Linked DNA regions of Mytilus edulis. The protein of the gene in region 2 interacts with the protein of the main gene of each other region in a biochemical or structural test. Links are inferred from orthologs where the notes say so. Each region holds a gene or a part of one and is shown on either strand. Other genes may lie near its edges.

Region 1 (6,339 bases), on a different chromosome or scaffold from region 2:
CTATGCAGGTCAGGAATATGACAGATGTTATCCATTCATTTGATGTGTTTGAGCTTTAGATTTTGTCATTTGATATTACAGACTTTCTGTTCTGAAATTTCCTTAGAGTTCAAACTCTGTATTTTTGTTGTTTTACATTTTGATAGTTTTAGGTACATCTTTTCACAAGAAATTCAGAAATCTGGTGGTCCCTTAAACCAGAAGCAAAATAGTCTATGAACATTCAAGACAAACATGAGTATGATTAGATTATTTTGTTTCAATACCATACATTTTGTACATAAACAAAAGTATCAAAACCCTACAAAAGCAAAACCAAAGTAACTTTAGAGGTAGAAAATGTAGAAACCATACTTGTAACAACAGAGCACACAAGACATTTACAAGTAGACCTGTAGATATGTTTTTGTTTGTGTTTGTAGTCTCGTTGCATTGGCATCCATACCTCTGTAAACCTGTATTATGTTTTACAATGTAAGGGGAATAACTCTAATTTACAAACATGACATACAAGAAAATTAAATTTTTAACTTTTTATTCATGGTTTTTTTCTTTTTTTTTTTCAAAATATAAATAACAGCATCCACTGGTGCTTACAAAGACCAGAGATGTTTTGTAGAAAATAATATATATATAAAATTATGACATTTGCATGATAACCTCAGAAATAATGACTAAATGAAATTATCACATTTAAACATGCAAGATAGAAATTTTGTTGCAGAAGACAAAATGTTAAAATTGCGGAATGTCAGCAACAAAATTATCATCAAAACATGCAAAAACAATACGTGATTGGCACTTATACATAAAACATCCTTATGAACACATTGTCAAGGCACAGATCATTTCATTCAAATGTTATGAGAATATATTTGTACTTGAAATCATGATTTGACAGCCACTGTTCACATGGTCTATAATTTTTTTCTTTAGTTTACAGACTTGGTCCCTGAGAGAATTTGCTGTTGCTGTTAAATCACAGTTTTGTCCTTTCAAGTCATCTACTCTATCTTCTAATCGGGAGATTCTTTCAAGTTTACGCGTTCTGCACTTTCTTGCAGCTACACGGTTTCTGGCACGTTTTCTTTCAAGTTTGATAACTTCTTGATTTTCCATGTTTATTGGCGACACTGAAAAACTGTCAGTTGTACTAGTTGCTATTGAAGGAACGGTCTGTGGTTCTTCATCCTGTCGTAATAAACTGATTCTTTGGGAAGGCATAGATTTAACTGAATGATTTCCTGCAGAAGATGTGTTAGTTGTGAATAAACCACCAGGGAGGGTTGTAGTAGCTGAGGTAAGAACATAGTCTGGAGGTACATACGTGTAACTGGCATTAGACACAGAGTCACTTTGGCTTTCACAATCCGAAGAGGATTCACCCTTTAAACATTGTCCTGTTTTTCCATGAAGATTGTTCAATGCCTCCACAAATCCTTTAGCAAATGATTCCTGTTCGTCTGTCACGAATTTTGGAAATATGAATTGTGTTGGTGTCGGCGTTGTTGTAACAAATCCATTTGCTTGAATTATAAACTTTTCTAACTCTGGCGATGCCAACTTCAGCATGTTCAAATCAGGAGAAGCAAGCAGATTTTGGATCTTCTGTTGTTTTGTTTTTCCTGATGAATTAAAGTCTAATGTCATCTTTCTTTTCAAACTATTCACGTTTGGGTCTCCGGCTTTGTTCATGATCCCTTCTGGATAAAATGTCCGCTCGGACAAAACTTCCATTGTCTAAAAAGTTTGTTATAGTATAAAGTCTAAAAACTTTTTCAACTTCAGTTGATAACTTGTGATGACTAATCCCAACGAAGGTCGATGTAAAAATGGTGGAAATATGAGTCACCTCTCTATATTTCTTTTCGTGTGAGGCTTGCACTGTAGTAAGTTTTCAAGACGTATGCTTTGTCCAACGTATTTCACTCCTTTTTATATGAAATGAGTCAGTTTTCTAAATATAGCATGACATCACTTTGGATAGCTCTCATTGGTTCTCAATGCGATCATCGACTATGTTGTCATTGTTCCTTCGGAGTTCTCGGACATTTTTTCTTTCATGTATCGGTTAAACCTAAAAATGATATCGTTGGTTCGAGAAAATGTTTTGATTTTGATTGGACGATTCTCTCGGGTGTGACTTGATTTGAACTCTGGAAAAGGGCACTTTCTGTAAAAGGAAATATTGACTGTGACGTCAGGATATTTACAACCCATATTTGGAAAACATTAAATTCTTAAACTTTATTGAGAACTGTTTTGATATTGCGAGTAACCGTTACCTTAGAAACTCTAAAGAAGATTATAAACGTAATATTCTCTAAAATCTAACCTAAAATATTTTTTGAAAGTGGTTTAACAAACACATGTTACTGAAACTTTCGGCGCCAAACCATGCTCTCAGAAGGGGATTTCCAAATATGAATCATCACTATTAACACGTGGAAGTTTTGAGACTAATAATAAAGGTAACGAAAGTCGATAAAGACGAAGTCGAAAGCAAAGAACTAGAATTTATTTTAAATACGCTTGACCATGGCGAGGAGTTAAAGTTTCAGATTAGATAGGAGATTAGAGATGGCCTGTGATCTGATAAATTATTTTTTACATACAAAACAACTTCAAAATAAGAGCTATTGCTCAAAAAGCCTAAACTTCCAAAGGAGCTAACCATTCAATAGGAGTTTTATTTCCAGAAGTTCAACAACTTCTCTAATTAATGGACCACACCTTCCTACATGTATATCTATGGTGGTTGAATATTGAACCACTTCATTAATTCATACATGTACATCACAAAAAAGATAATCTAGTGGCAAAGATCTTAGCTGAATATGTAAGGCAAAATAGTGTCCTGGGAAATAGTGTCCACATGGACACTATTTCCTAGAATTTAGGTATTAAATAATGTCCATTGCCATGGAATATTGTCCCCAAAGTGGACAGATTGTCATAGCAATATCTATGAAATAGTGTCCACTTGACTACAGAATGTTATGAAATAGAGGACATTATTAAATCCTACTATTATTAACAAATTATGTCCTCCAAGGGAAGTACATGTAAGGAATACTAAGGTGGACATCTTATCACTGAAATATAGTATTTTTAAATGTGTCCACTTTCAGGGACACTTTTTCATACCGGAGGACAGTTTTTCATAGAAAAATGTGTCCAGGACACATATAAATAAGTGAATATCGTCCTGAGACCGTATTTACTAGGAAATAATGTCCCGTGGACACTATTTCATTAGGGACATTATCAAATCCTACAAATACATACACTTTTTTACTAAATTTTGGAGAACTTTATAAAAATATTTTTACAACCAGTGTCAAAAAGAAAACTTGTAGCTTTTGATAGACCTATTATTTGGTCATGGAATAATTTATTCAACCTTCTGTGGCAAGCATATTTAAATTTATACCTTTCTATTTTTAAAGGATATTTGTTGAACTGTAGATTTTTTTTAGTTTGTGTCATATGGTTGCTGTCTGGTTGCAATTTACACTGTATCAACTTTTATACGCCTCTGGCCTTTTACCTAACGACTAAAAATTGAAAAAAGGGATTATGATAATTGTTACATTTGTAGTCCTAGTTGGCTGCATTTTTTCTTAAAATTTTTTAATAATAAATTATGCCCTCTGTGTCTAAAAAATTATAAATTTTGATTCACATTTTTATCTATTTCACTTGAATAGCTTTTTAATATGTGAATCTTTTTTTATACCAAAAATTATACCTAAATCCAATGAAATAAAATTTGTTGTTGTCTTTAAACAAGTTAAAAATCCAAAACGTTTTTAAACCTTTTGAATATTTAAATTTTTAAAGTAATACATCCCCCCCTTTTCTCTGTTGATGTCTGAACATGTTTGTTGACAATCCTCCAAATGAACTTTGTGTGTTGGCATTGCATGGGTATTTCCCACTGTGAGTAGATTTTCTATATTTATCTGATGATTCACCACAACAGTAGGTTAGTAGGTGTTTGTTTATTGTTTTTCCATGGCTTACCTGTGAGGGAACATATCAAAATAGAAAATGCAATATCACATATTTTATGCATTTAGTTTTTCTCTAGTTTTTCTCCTAAAAAAAGATTTGAATGTTTTTAAAGTATACTGTTCGTATAAGATAAAGAAATCAAGAATTGATAGTAAATGTAATTATTTTATTAAATATGTGTTAAAACATTAAATATAAGCATATTTGACATATAAATTAACTTGCAAAATTGTTTTCATTAAAACAAAAAAATGAAGATATTTAATTGTTTTGCACAAAGTACATTTAGATTTAGGTTCAATTAAAATATTTTAAAGATTTTGACCTTTTTTAATTTTTAAATTGAACTTTAGTTCAATTGACCTGACAAAATAACATTGAAAACTTCTTAAACACTGACACAAATATTGTTTTTTTTTAGATATATAGAACCAAGGTGTTCCAAGTTAAATTATTACTACTTTTATGCAAATGTCTGTTTTAAGTGAGGTCTACAAATCAACTTTTTAAAACTTCTCATGACTTTCTTTTAGGAAAAAAGGGGGTGGTTGGTTCTCAGTGGCGGATCCAGAAGGGGGGGGGGGGGGTTTCCGGGGGTTAGAACCCCCTCTTTTTTTGGCCGATCAATGCATTTGAATGGGAGCATATATTTGGACCCCCCCCTTTACTCTGGGTTGGGAACCCCCCCTTTTTAAAATGGCTGGATCCGCGCCTGGTTCTAGAGAATTAAATCAAAATGAAAACGATGGTCTACATTTGATGAAATATATCAATTAATATTTTAAGTAAAAGATAATATAAAGGTTACTAACTAAAGTTGAAGTTATCTATGGTTGAACTTTTGTGAAAGAATAGACAGGTGGTTTGAAATTTATGATTTTGAGATTTTCCAGATTTGTGTATTGGCATCAGGCCATCACATGACCTTACTATTGTCTGTAAATTTTCGATCACATGATTGTTTTATTTAAGGATAATATAAAATAACAGTTGTCCCCAATTACGAAATAGTCTGTTAATCATAGTATGGATGATAAGATGATAAACAATAACAGATAGTTATTTTTAATATAAATGAAATTTTAATGTCCAAAAAGATAAAAATAAACCATATATAGATATACTTATATAAATCATATATATATAGATACATAAATATAGATTTATACCCAACTATTTCCAAGCAGCAATTTTTTTCAATAATACATATTTTGTTTGTAAAACAGTGGCGGATCCAGAAATATTTTTTGGGGTGAGGGGCTGACTGACCTGAGTGTTTTTATTATATATATATATTGTGATTTTTTTTTTTTGTTTGAAAATCTACTATTTTATATGAAGATTATTATTGTTTTTTTTCTTTTATTCCCCTGCCTTTTTGGAATTTTTAATTAGAATAAAAGCTAGTATTGTCATTGTGTTAAAAAGCTATATTTATAATAAGTTATGTATTATAAGAAATGGCTAAGTCACAGTTGTTGAAACACTATAATCTCTATTAGCCATAATTTTGCATCATAATCCATAAATTTTGGTCTCAATCACAAAATTGAACTTTGTCTATTTTAGTATGCTGCATGTTTGATTAACAAGAAGTAAGTTTAACTATGTGAAATGTGAAGTTTTTTATTTGATTGATTGATTATACAGTGTTTAACACTTTCAGTACTGTTTTTTTTTTTGTGGCAGTCTGTTTTTATTGGTGGAGAAAGAAACTTGAGAACCACCAATTTTTGGCAGGAAAACTGGAATCCTAGTCAATTGATATTGGAGTTGAATGTACCTGCCATGTGTGGGGTTTGAAACCTGCAACCTCAGTGATAACAGTCTGATACAGTATATGAACTACTAAGGCCACTGAGCCACCTACTAGGTAGCCACTTACTAGGTAGCCACTTACTAGGTTCTCTTTTTATTGAATGAGAGGGTTGAATGTCTTTTATGATGAAGTACTTATAATACACCAGCGATAGTTGTTGTGATGTTGCATCATTATCATTTCAGTTTTCTACACATATCAGTGGCGGATAAGGGGGGGATAGGGGTTCTTGGGTTGGAACATCCTCTTTGTTTTGATAATGCGATTTGATTGGGAAATAAAGTTTGAACACCCATCCCCCTGGTGTTTTCTTTAAACGGCTGGATCTGCCCCTGCATATTAACTGCTCTTATAGTTAATAAGCTTAATTGACTGTTAAAATGTGAAAGACTTAAGTTTGCTTAAAAAAATATGAGATGGACTCTTAGAACCCTTGAATTCAAAGCAGGATTTTACTAAAACTTTATTTATGCAGCTATTGTAAAAATTTGTGTATGAATAAT
Region 2 (7,946 bases):
ATACATTAAATGCATACTAATTTGACGAAATTCATTTTTCTGCCGTAATCAATATACGCATGTGCAAACTAATTTTATTGGATAATAAAGTATGGTTTCTTTACAAAGCTAAAGAAGCACGTCATATTAGAATCAAAACTTTTCAATGTGCATTATAAAATTGGTGGAATTTATTTTGGCGATTTTGTTCTATTCGCCAAAGTAAGTGAATATTTACACCCTGCGAAAATAACCGCGATACAGTAACACCATATTTTTTTATCCTGGTATCTTTCTAAGAAAAAATAACAGGTTGTGGGGAAATGCTTTTTTAACAATATCTAATTATTCACTGCTCATTTAAAATTGCAATTTGGCCATGAGAAGACCAGAACACCAGTGATCAGGAAGGATGTGCGCCTTGCATCTATAGCGCATATTGACAAGAAATGGCGCATTCAGTGACAAATGTAAGCGCCAAGTTGGGCACAATATTTTTCACTTCATTTCGAAACGCTTAGATATCGTCAAATGGTACCAGTTTAAACATTGTAAATAAAGATACGAGTGAACCAACACCTGAAGTGGTGATCGTGCGGTAGGGTAAAAACGAGTGGATACCGCTAGGTATTCCCAGTCATCTTGAAAAAAAGAATGTGTCGACAATAAAGACAACAACACTCATGTTTTTACCGCATAGTATCTGTTTATTGGGTCTACATGTTTCGCCTAATCGATAGGCAATTGTCCTGATGATGCCTATCGATTAGGCGAAACATGTAGACCCAATAAACAGATACTATGTGGTAAAAACATGAGTGTTGTTGTCTTTATTGTCGACACATTGTAAATAAAGGTTAACTTAAATATTGTTCGGGTTGGAAGAAGTTACTGTATATTCATTGAAATAGAAGTTACAAAATCACAGGATCAATATCCATGAGTTTATTTAAAATCATAAAGGTAAGTACCAACACCTCTTTGCCAAAATATACTGATACTTTTTTTTTTACAGAAGTTAATTCAAATGGCCTACTCATTTGACAACATGGCCCATTTTTAATTATTTTTTAAAATGGCCCATTGAATTTATTTTTGCGACACATAGTATCTGTTTATTGGGTCTACATGTTTCGCCTAATCGATAGGCATCATCAGGACAATTGCCTATCGATTAGGCGAAACATGTAGACCCAATAAACAGATACTATGCGGGGCTTCACTAATAAATCTTCGTTCACACCAGGAAACGATTTCCCAACATTTATCTCAGTTCTACATACATACTCTTGAACGCTTTCACTTGTAAGCATAGTTATATTTCTCAATTTCATTCTACAAATCTGAGCAGTCTCAATATCACCAAATCGACTTTTCAATGCAGAATACAAAACAGATACATTATAAAGATCTCTGTGTGGTAAATACGACACATATTCTAAAGCTTTACCTCTCAGTGAAGTAACCAAATAAAAAGCCATATCACTAGATGACCAATTAAAACCTTCAGCAAAGATAGAAAATTTCATCCAGAAACCTTCAAAAAGTTCAGTACCGTCAAACTCTGGTACGTCACACCAGCTCATGGTTAATATATATCAAAATGCTGACAAATATAAGTTATAGACATACATAAAACAACAATTATTTATAGATAAACGTGACAATGTTGATATCTTTCAATTTGCACCTTAGATTGTCATTTTATCCTTGATGCTTACACCGAACAAAAATGTTTAATTAATTTTCGTCCACTTTTGCCGATTAAATACTTCTCTGTGAATTATGTGGTCGAATCTGTTTTAATTTCCAATATCAGTTTTTAAAAGGTGAATCTTCGTATTCCAGTGGCTCATCGTCCTTCTGTTGCAACGTATACATTTGGTCAAGATTGTATTGTCGAATAAATTTGTTTAAGTACCTTCATTGTTTGATTTCATATTTCCTCCCCTCTTTAAAAGCATTCCGTCTGTATAAAAATATAAATCATCTGTTTGCCTAGATTTGTTTCTGTTCGCTGCCACCAATGTTGTAAACGTAGAATTCCGAGCATTCATAAATTTATAACTTAACACCATCTTTGTAGAAAATAACTGTCACGATTTATTCACACTATATGTATATACAGACGTTACATAAAATACAAAATACACGGCATACACTCCAACAGTACAAACATTCAGCCATCTTGTCCATCCGGCAACACATCTCTCTCTCCCACGTCACTATCACACAAAGTCAAAAATACGGGAAACAACATTAACACTGTTTCGCGACATTACGGACATGAAGACAAAGTCACATTCACAACATAGGTTTATTGGTGTATTTGCTGCAGAAAAGAAAATTGAAACGGGATTGACACAAAATGCATAAATTTGAACGAGTTGAATAGGGTAATAGTTATATGACTATCAAGCCATCTTTTCAAACCTGAAACACAAATAAATACCACGATAATGCTGTCTAATAACATGAATAAGTGGTTAGACTGTACTTTGTATATGAGATGAACAACGATGTCAGTAATTTCGTGTCATAAATGAAGTCAGGTTTTTTTAATGTGAGGACAGCCAAATGCATTGCCATACAAACGAATTATCAGAATTTACTCTGCACATACATATAACATAAACATATCGAACTCTTTACAAATGTCAAGTAAATTATTATGGTAAATAAATACACTTTTCATAACGCGTTGAGGGAGGTCTTCATTTATTTGTTTTATTCTAACCTGTTATAATTTCTGATTTGATGCTCTTATAGTTCTTCTTCAGATGATCATCCAGTTTCTATTTCTACAACACAGGTGATGAATCAAAATAATTTATCGACCAAGTAAGGTTGACTATTTCGCTGTAAACGTCATCGAATTTTGCGAAAATGTAATTATCGCGTAAACGAGAATACTTTTTTGCATATTTTTTTAACAAATCTTTTTACAATTTTTATATATAAAAGCTCAATTACTTGAATATTTTTCACAAAAATTAAAACATATTTTGATTTGAACTATAAATTCTAAAAGTAAATCGAGTGACGATATTTTAAAATAGGTCTAACATCTCCGAGTGCAAATAAATTTACTATAGACCGAGACTACAGCTATAGAGCAAGCGACGTGTAATTCTTCTTTTTTAGTTACAGAACCATCAATGTTTTGACGATTACTTTCTGGCACGTGCCTTATTGAGGTTGCTTTCTAAAGTTAATTTCATTTTTTCTTTATTTTTAAACTTTACAATTTTTATTGAACTTTTAAACTTTACAATTTTTATTGAACTTTTAATTCTTACTTTTTTTTTTTTTTTTAATTAAGATAAAAATAATAGGTACATTTATTTTAAGTGAGAAATGTTTAAAGGAGTACTTCATGGGTAAGTGCATCCTTAAAGTTGTCTGTAGAAGTTTTGTTTGAAATTTCAGGTGATAATTTATTCCAATCTTTCAAGATTGCTTGCGGGCCCTGAAGAATGAGAATTTAAAACTGTCGGTTTGAATAGAGGACTCCCAAAAATCTATGAAGGTTTGAAAAACCTTTTAAGTCAGTGAAATGCGTAAAAAAAATATATATCTGTAAACTTTTGCTCTGGGTATTGTGTCTCACGAAAAAGCTTCTTTCCGTTGTTCAGAACCCAGAGGCGGATTTAGGGGGGGGGGGCATGCAAGGGGCCCGCCCCCCTTTTTGGGAAAAAAATTGGTTGCTTATATAGAGAATCACTGAAACGTGACTGGAGCGGGCCCCCTCTTAGGTCAGTCAGTGGGCCCCCACTTATGAAAATTTCTCACGGATCCGCCCCTGGAACCACCCGGCAACGTTACTAACTGACGTCAAATTTCCTGAAGATTTGCGGAAAGGTTATTGATGACTGGCAACTTAAACTTGTAACCATGACTGTATCGAATAGTTAACTTTAAAAAAAGACAAACGAAAAAAAGGTTTTCTGTCAAAATTTTGCTCTGGCCGATAGGCCTGTCTTTTGATTATATAAATTATAATAATAAAATATTTGTCGAAATTTTCATTAAATGCTATGAAGATTTGACAAAGTGGGCTAACAAAATTTTAACCACTCATTGAACCTAAATGTCGACGACGAAACCGCCGAAGACAACAGATATGAAAATAGCTACAAAGTTTGTAGTACAAACTGAAAGGTGCTTTATATCTTGTAATCAAGCCTGCTTCATCGATGATGTATTTTTGTTTGTACACAAGGGTGGACAATAATTATCCAAATCAAACAAGTCTACAAATAAGAGTATTTCTTCGTTACAAAAAGCAAGGATTTTTATAGTCTTACTGTACAAATCCTTGCAAAAAGCGGCCGTAATTCATTAGTTCATTGGTTGTAGTAAGATTCTAGTAAGACTATACAAATCCTTGGTAGTCTGTAAACAAAATGCAGGCTTAATATGATTTAAGCCCATTTTGGAAAAAAAAACCATTTCGGGTACATAAAAACACGTGCTTAATTTGAATGGTGTTTATCTTATGCTGGTGAAGTTAAGTTGTATTGTATCAGCATCAGCAGTGACTCCTTAATAATATATACATGTAAGAGTGCTGCAAGGTAACCGAATGTATTATAAATAGCAGATATTAAAACATTTGAACCGACTTTTAAACAACCAAATAGATAGAGACATAAAACATGTCTCTTATATATATTGAACTAATTGTATTCAGTATAAAATCCAGTACACAAGTATCATCGGTGAAATACATGAAAACAAAGAAAAAAAGAGAAAAAAGAGACAGTAATTTAGACATTTGTCTATATGTAAATGAAATCTGTTGAGAACGCAAGTCTCTGAATAGTTCATTAAATATATGTATCAAAATTGTCTAAATTACAAAAACATGATGGCACGAGATATAAAAAAAAAATAGATATGATTTCGTTTGGTCCAACAATAATAAAAGTGAAATAATGAAATAATAATTCGTTTTTACAAGGATTTGTATAGTAATCCTTGGTTTTTAGCAGCCAATTCAGTACAATTTTGTCAAAATAGGCAAAGAAATATCGCTGATGAATTGTCACTAGCAAGTGAATAATTCGACCTCATTAATGATCTGTATTCATTTGACCTTCAATTTAACCCATTAGCTAGAGATTGGTTACACATGCATTAAGTCGTGTTCAGCCATTTAAACTTAAAGGAAAAGAATGTCAACATTTAAACTGAACCAAAGGTGAACCATTTCGTTGACTGACTCGATCCACAAAAAAATCATTCTTAGACTTAGACAGTAAAAACCGTTAATTAAATTTATTATCCTATAGCACGGTAAGCATAGTGTCCTGCTAGGATCGTAGTTTTTCGAGTGATTTGGTCCATTTTTTTCGAATGATAAAACATGCGATAAGTTAAATTAATGGATAACATGAAATCAAACAAACCTAGATAAATACAATTGCACGAGATCGCAATCTGTTTATATTTATCATATCATTAATATCAGATTGTCTGTAATTTGTATGATAAAGAACATGCTTTCTTAACTGTTTATTTCAGACATATTGTAATTTGGATATATATATATAAAAAAAGAAGATGTGGTATGATTGCCAATGAGACAACTATCCACAAAAGACCAAAATGACACAGACATTAACAACTATAGGTCACCGTACGGCCTTCAACAATGAGCAAAGCCCATATACTGCATAGTGAGCTATAAAAGGCCCCGATAAGACAATGAAAAACAATTCAAACGATATGTTTAATCTAAGTGTTAAAGAAATCATAGTCAGGAACAGATCAACACTTCGTTTTGATTTAATCTAATTAAAAGTTCTGTCTCTGATTTCGTTATGATCATAAGCAGAGACATATATTATAGCGGTCATAAGTGCGAAGACATACGTTACGATAGACCTCAAGGTTTTATAGTCAGATTGGGTTTATTCGTAGCAAGGATTTGTATAGTAAGACTAATACAAATCCTTGTTCGTAGTAATAATAATTTCCAAACCATTTATGAAAAATCCTGGGAAAATCTAAATAAACTTCACTTATGAAAAAGTCTTATATACCTTTTCAATATACAAATGTAAGATATTTTCTGTTTATTACAAGACTTTTCGGCCACTGTCATTCCGGCCATAGTTAGTGCCAGTTCGGCCAATCAGTTTCGAACGTGTTCCCATTCGACCTTACCTTAAAACTTTTAGATACATTTGGATGATGCATTTTTAAAATTTATTAAGTACATGAACCTATCTAACCCTCAATCCTCAACATTGATTTTGAAAGAAAAGGATTTTTATAGAACAAATAATCGAATTTGTAGTACATCTTTTAGCTAATCAAATTCGATGATGTCATTGATTTGTGTGCACAAAGGAAGTTACTTTCCTGTTTCTAAAAGTAGGAAGTTGAAAAGTTGAAATCAAAATGATTTTAAACAATCCCAAGCAATGACTTCAAAGAAAACATCAGAAGGTAAACATAGCAATTTCTTACATTAAATTATATCGAAACATTTGACTGTCTTGCACCGTGCACGAACTTCTATGAATTACTTTCATTTTTATCCCTAAAAATAATAACAATTCGAGTTTGTATCATATGTAGGACATTGAATCCCCTTTAAAGTCTTACAAGTAATATACAATTATTCTTATAAGGCATATGCTACTGGTTGGTCTCCTGAAACTATCGGTTTAAACAAGTGCATTTTGCATGTTTGACAATTTGTTTAATTTGTGAGACTATTCATATTTTGTTGTCATTGACATTGTACCATACTTCTACTAATATGAGGCAGGAATTACCTGTGAATGGGGACGAAGTCTATGATTTTTTTTTTAAATCAACAATGTTAAAAAGAGACGGAAATACCGTAACATTTCCGATTTTTGTTCTGTTGTTAGAGATTTTAGTTGTGACGTTATTTAAGTTATGATATTCAATGTAAACAAAGAAACGTTGTCATCAGGTAACCTTTTTTAATAACAAACATTTTTTTTTAAATGAATTAGTATTAGTTCCTTTCTTAGACTGATAAAAATACATTTTATTCAAAGTCTCATGCAAACAAGACCGGAAACAGAAGTAGATTTCTGCACCGATCCGGAAATTCAAAAAGGCGACAAAAAAAATTGAACGATTTTGGGTCATTAGTACAATGAAAAATTCAGGAAATTTTTCCCGATTTAAAAAAAAATTTTTTTTTATTGAATTTTCTACTGTAATAGGGGACTTCGTCCCCATATTAAATATTCCTTAATATACAGTAAAAGCATGAAAAGTGAGGTAAAACATCCTTGTCTTCGGTCTAAAACATTCAAGACTACATGTACATGCACTGGTGGTGTTGAGTGTTAGTGTGTTCCAGTCCCTTATTCTTGGATAGAACAATTCTGTCCTCAATTCTGTTCTGAAAGTCGGTGCAAATTAACTATTTTTAATAGAGTTATTCCCCTTGAAAATGAAAATTATTTACTTAATTGCATTCAAAGATTTCTCAAACCTTCATTTCTTGTAGGATTGTTATGAAATTTACATCAAAGGTTTATATCAGTTATCATGGTAATGTCTTAAATGAGTTTGTAAATCATGTTAGATCTATTATTTTTGCAGGAGTTACATGTATATTGTAGATCTCTTTGATTTGAAATGTACTTTATATTGAACATTGAGTTGGACACTCTCACACCTACATTTTTTCGTAAAATGTTTATGAGGTGTACATAAAATTGAGAAAGGAAATGGTGAATATGTCAAAGCGACAACCACCCGACCATAGAGCAAACAACAGCCGAAGGCAACCAATGGGTCTTCAATGTAGCGAGAATTCACGCACCCGTAGGTGTCCTTCAGCTGGCCCCTAAAATATGCATAATAGTACAGTGATAATGGACGTCATACTAAACTCCGAATTATACACAAGAAACTAAAATTTAAAATCATACAAGACTAACAAAGGCCAGAGGCTCCTGACTTGGGACAGG

Evidence for each region.
Region 1: of the proteins of stress-activated protein kinase JNK-like (region 2) and transcription factor Jun-like, one has a biochemical effect on the other in vitro, tested with the Drosophila melanogaster proteins (2 studies listed by BioGRID). The link is inferred for Mytilus edulis from reciprocal best matches to the Drosophila melanogaster genes bsk and Jra.

The regions. Positions count from the first base shown.
Region 1 is NC_092344.1:111,934,016-111,940,354, reverse strand, and holds transcription factor Jun-like, read right to left. Parts: upstream 2,262-6,339; 5' UTR 1,738-2,261; coding exon 862-1,737; 3' UTR 519-861; downstream 1-518.
Region 2 is NC_092352.1:12,133,394-12,141,339, reverse strand, and holds the start of stress-activated protein kinase JNK-like, read right to left. Parts: upstream 3,027-7,946; 5' UTR 2,717-3,026; intron 1-2,716. UniProt on the Drosophila melanogaster protein: Mitogen-activated protein kinase and key component of the c-Jun N-terminal kinase (JNK) pathway which phosphorylate and activate transcription factors involved in a wide range of biological processes including response to various stresses, cellular proliferation, differentiation and migration, and regulation of cell shape.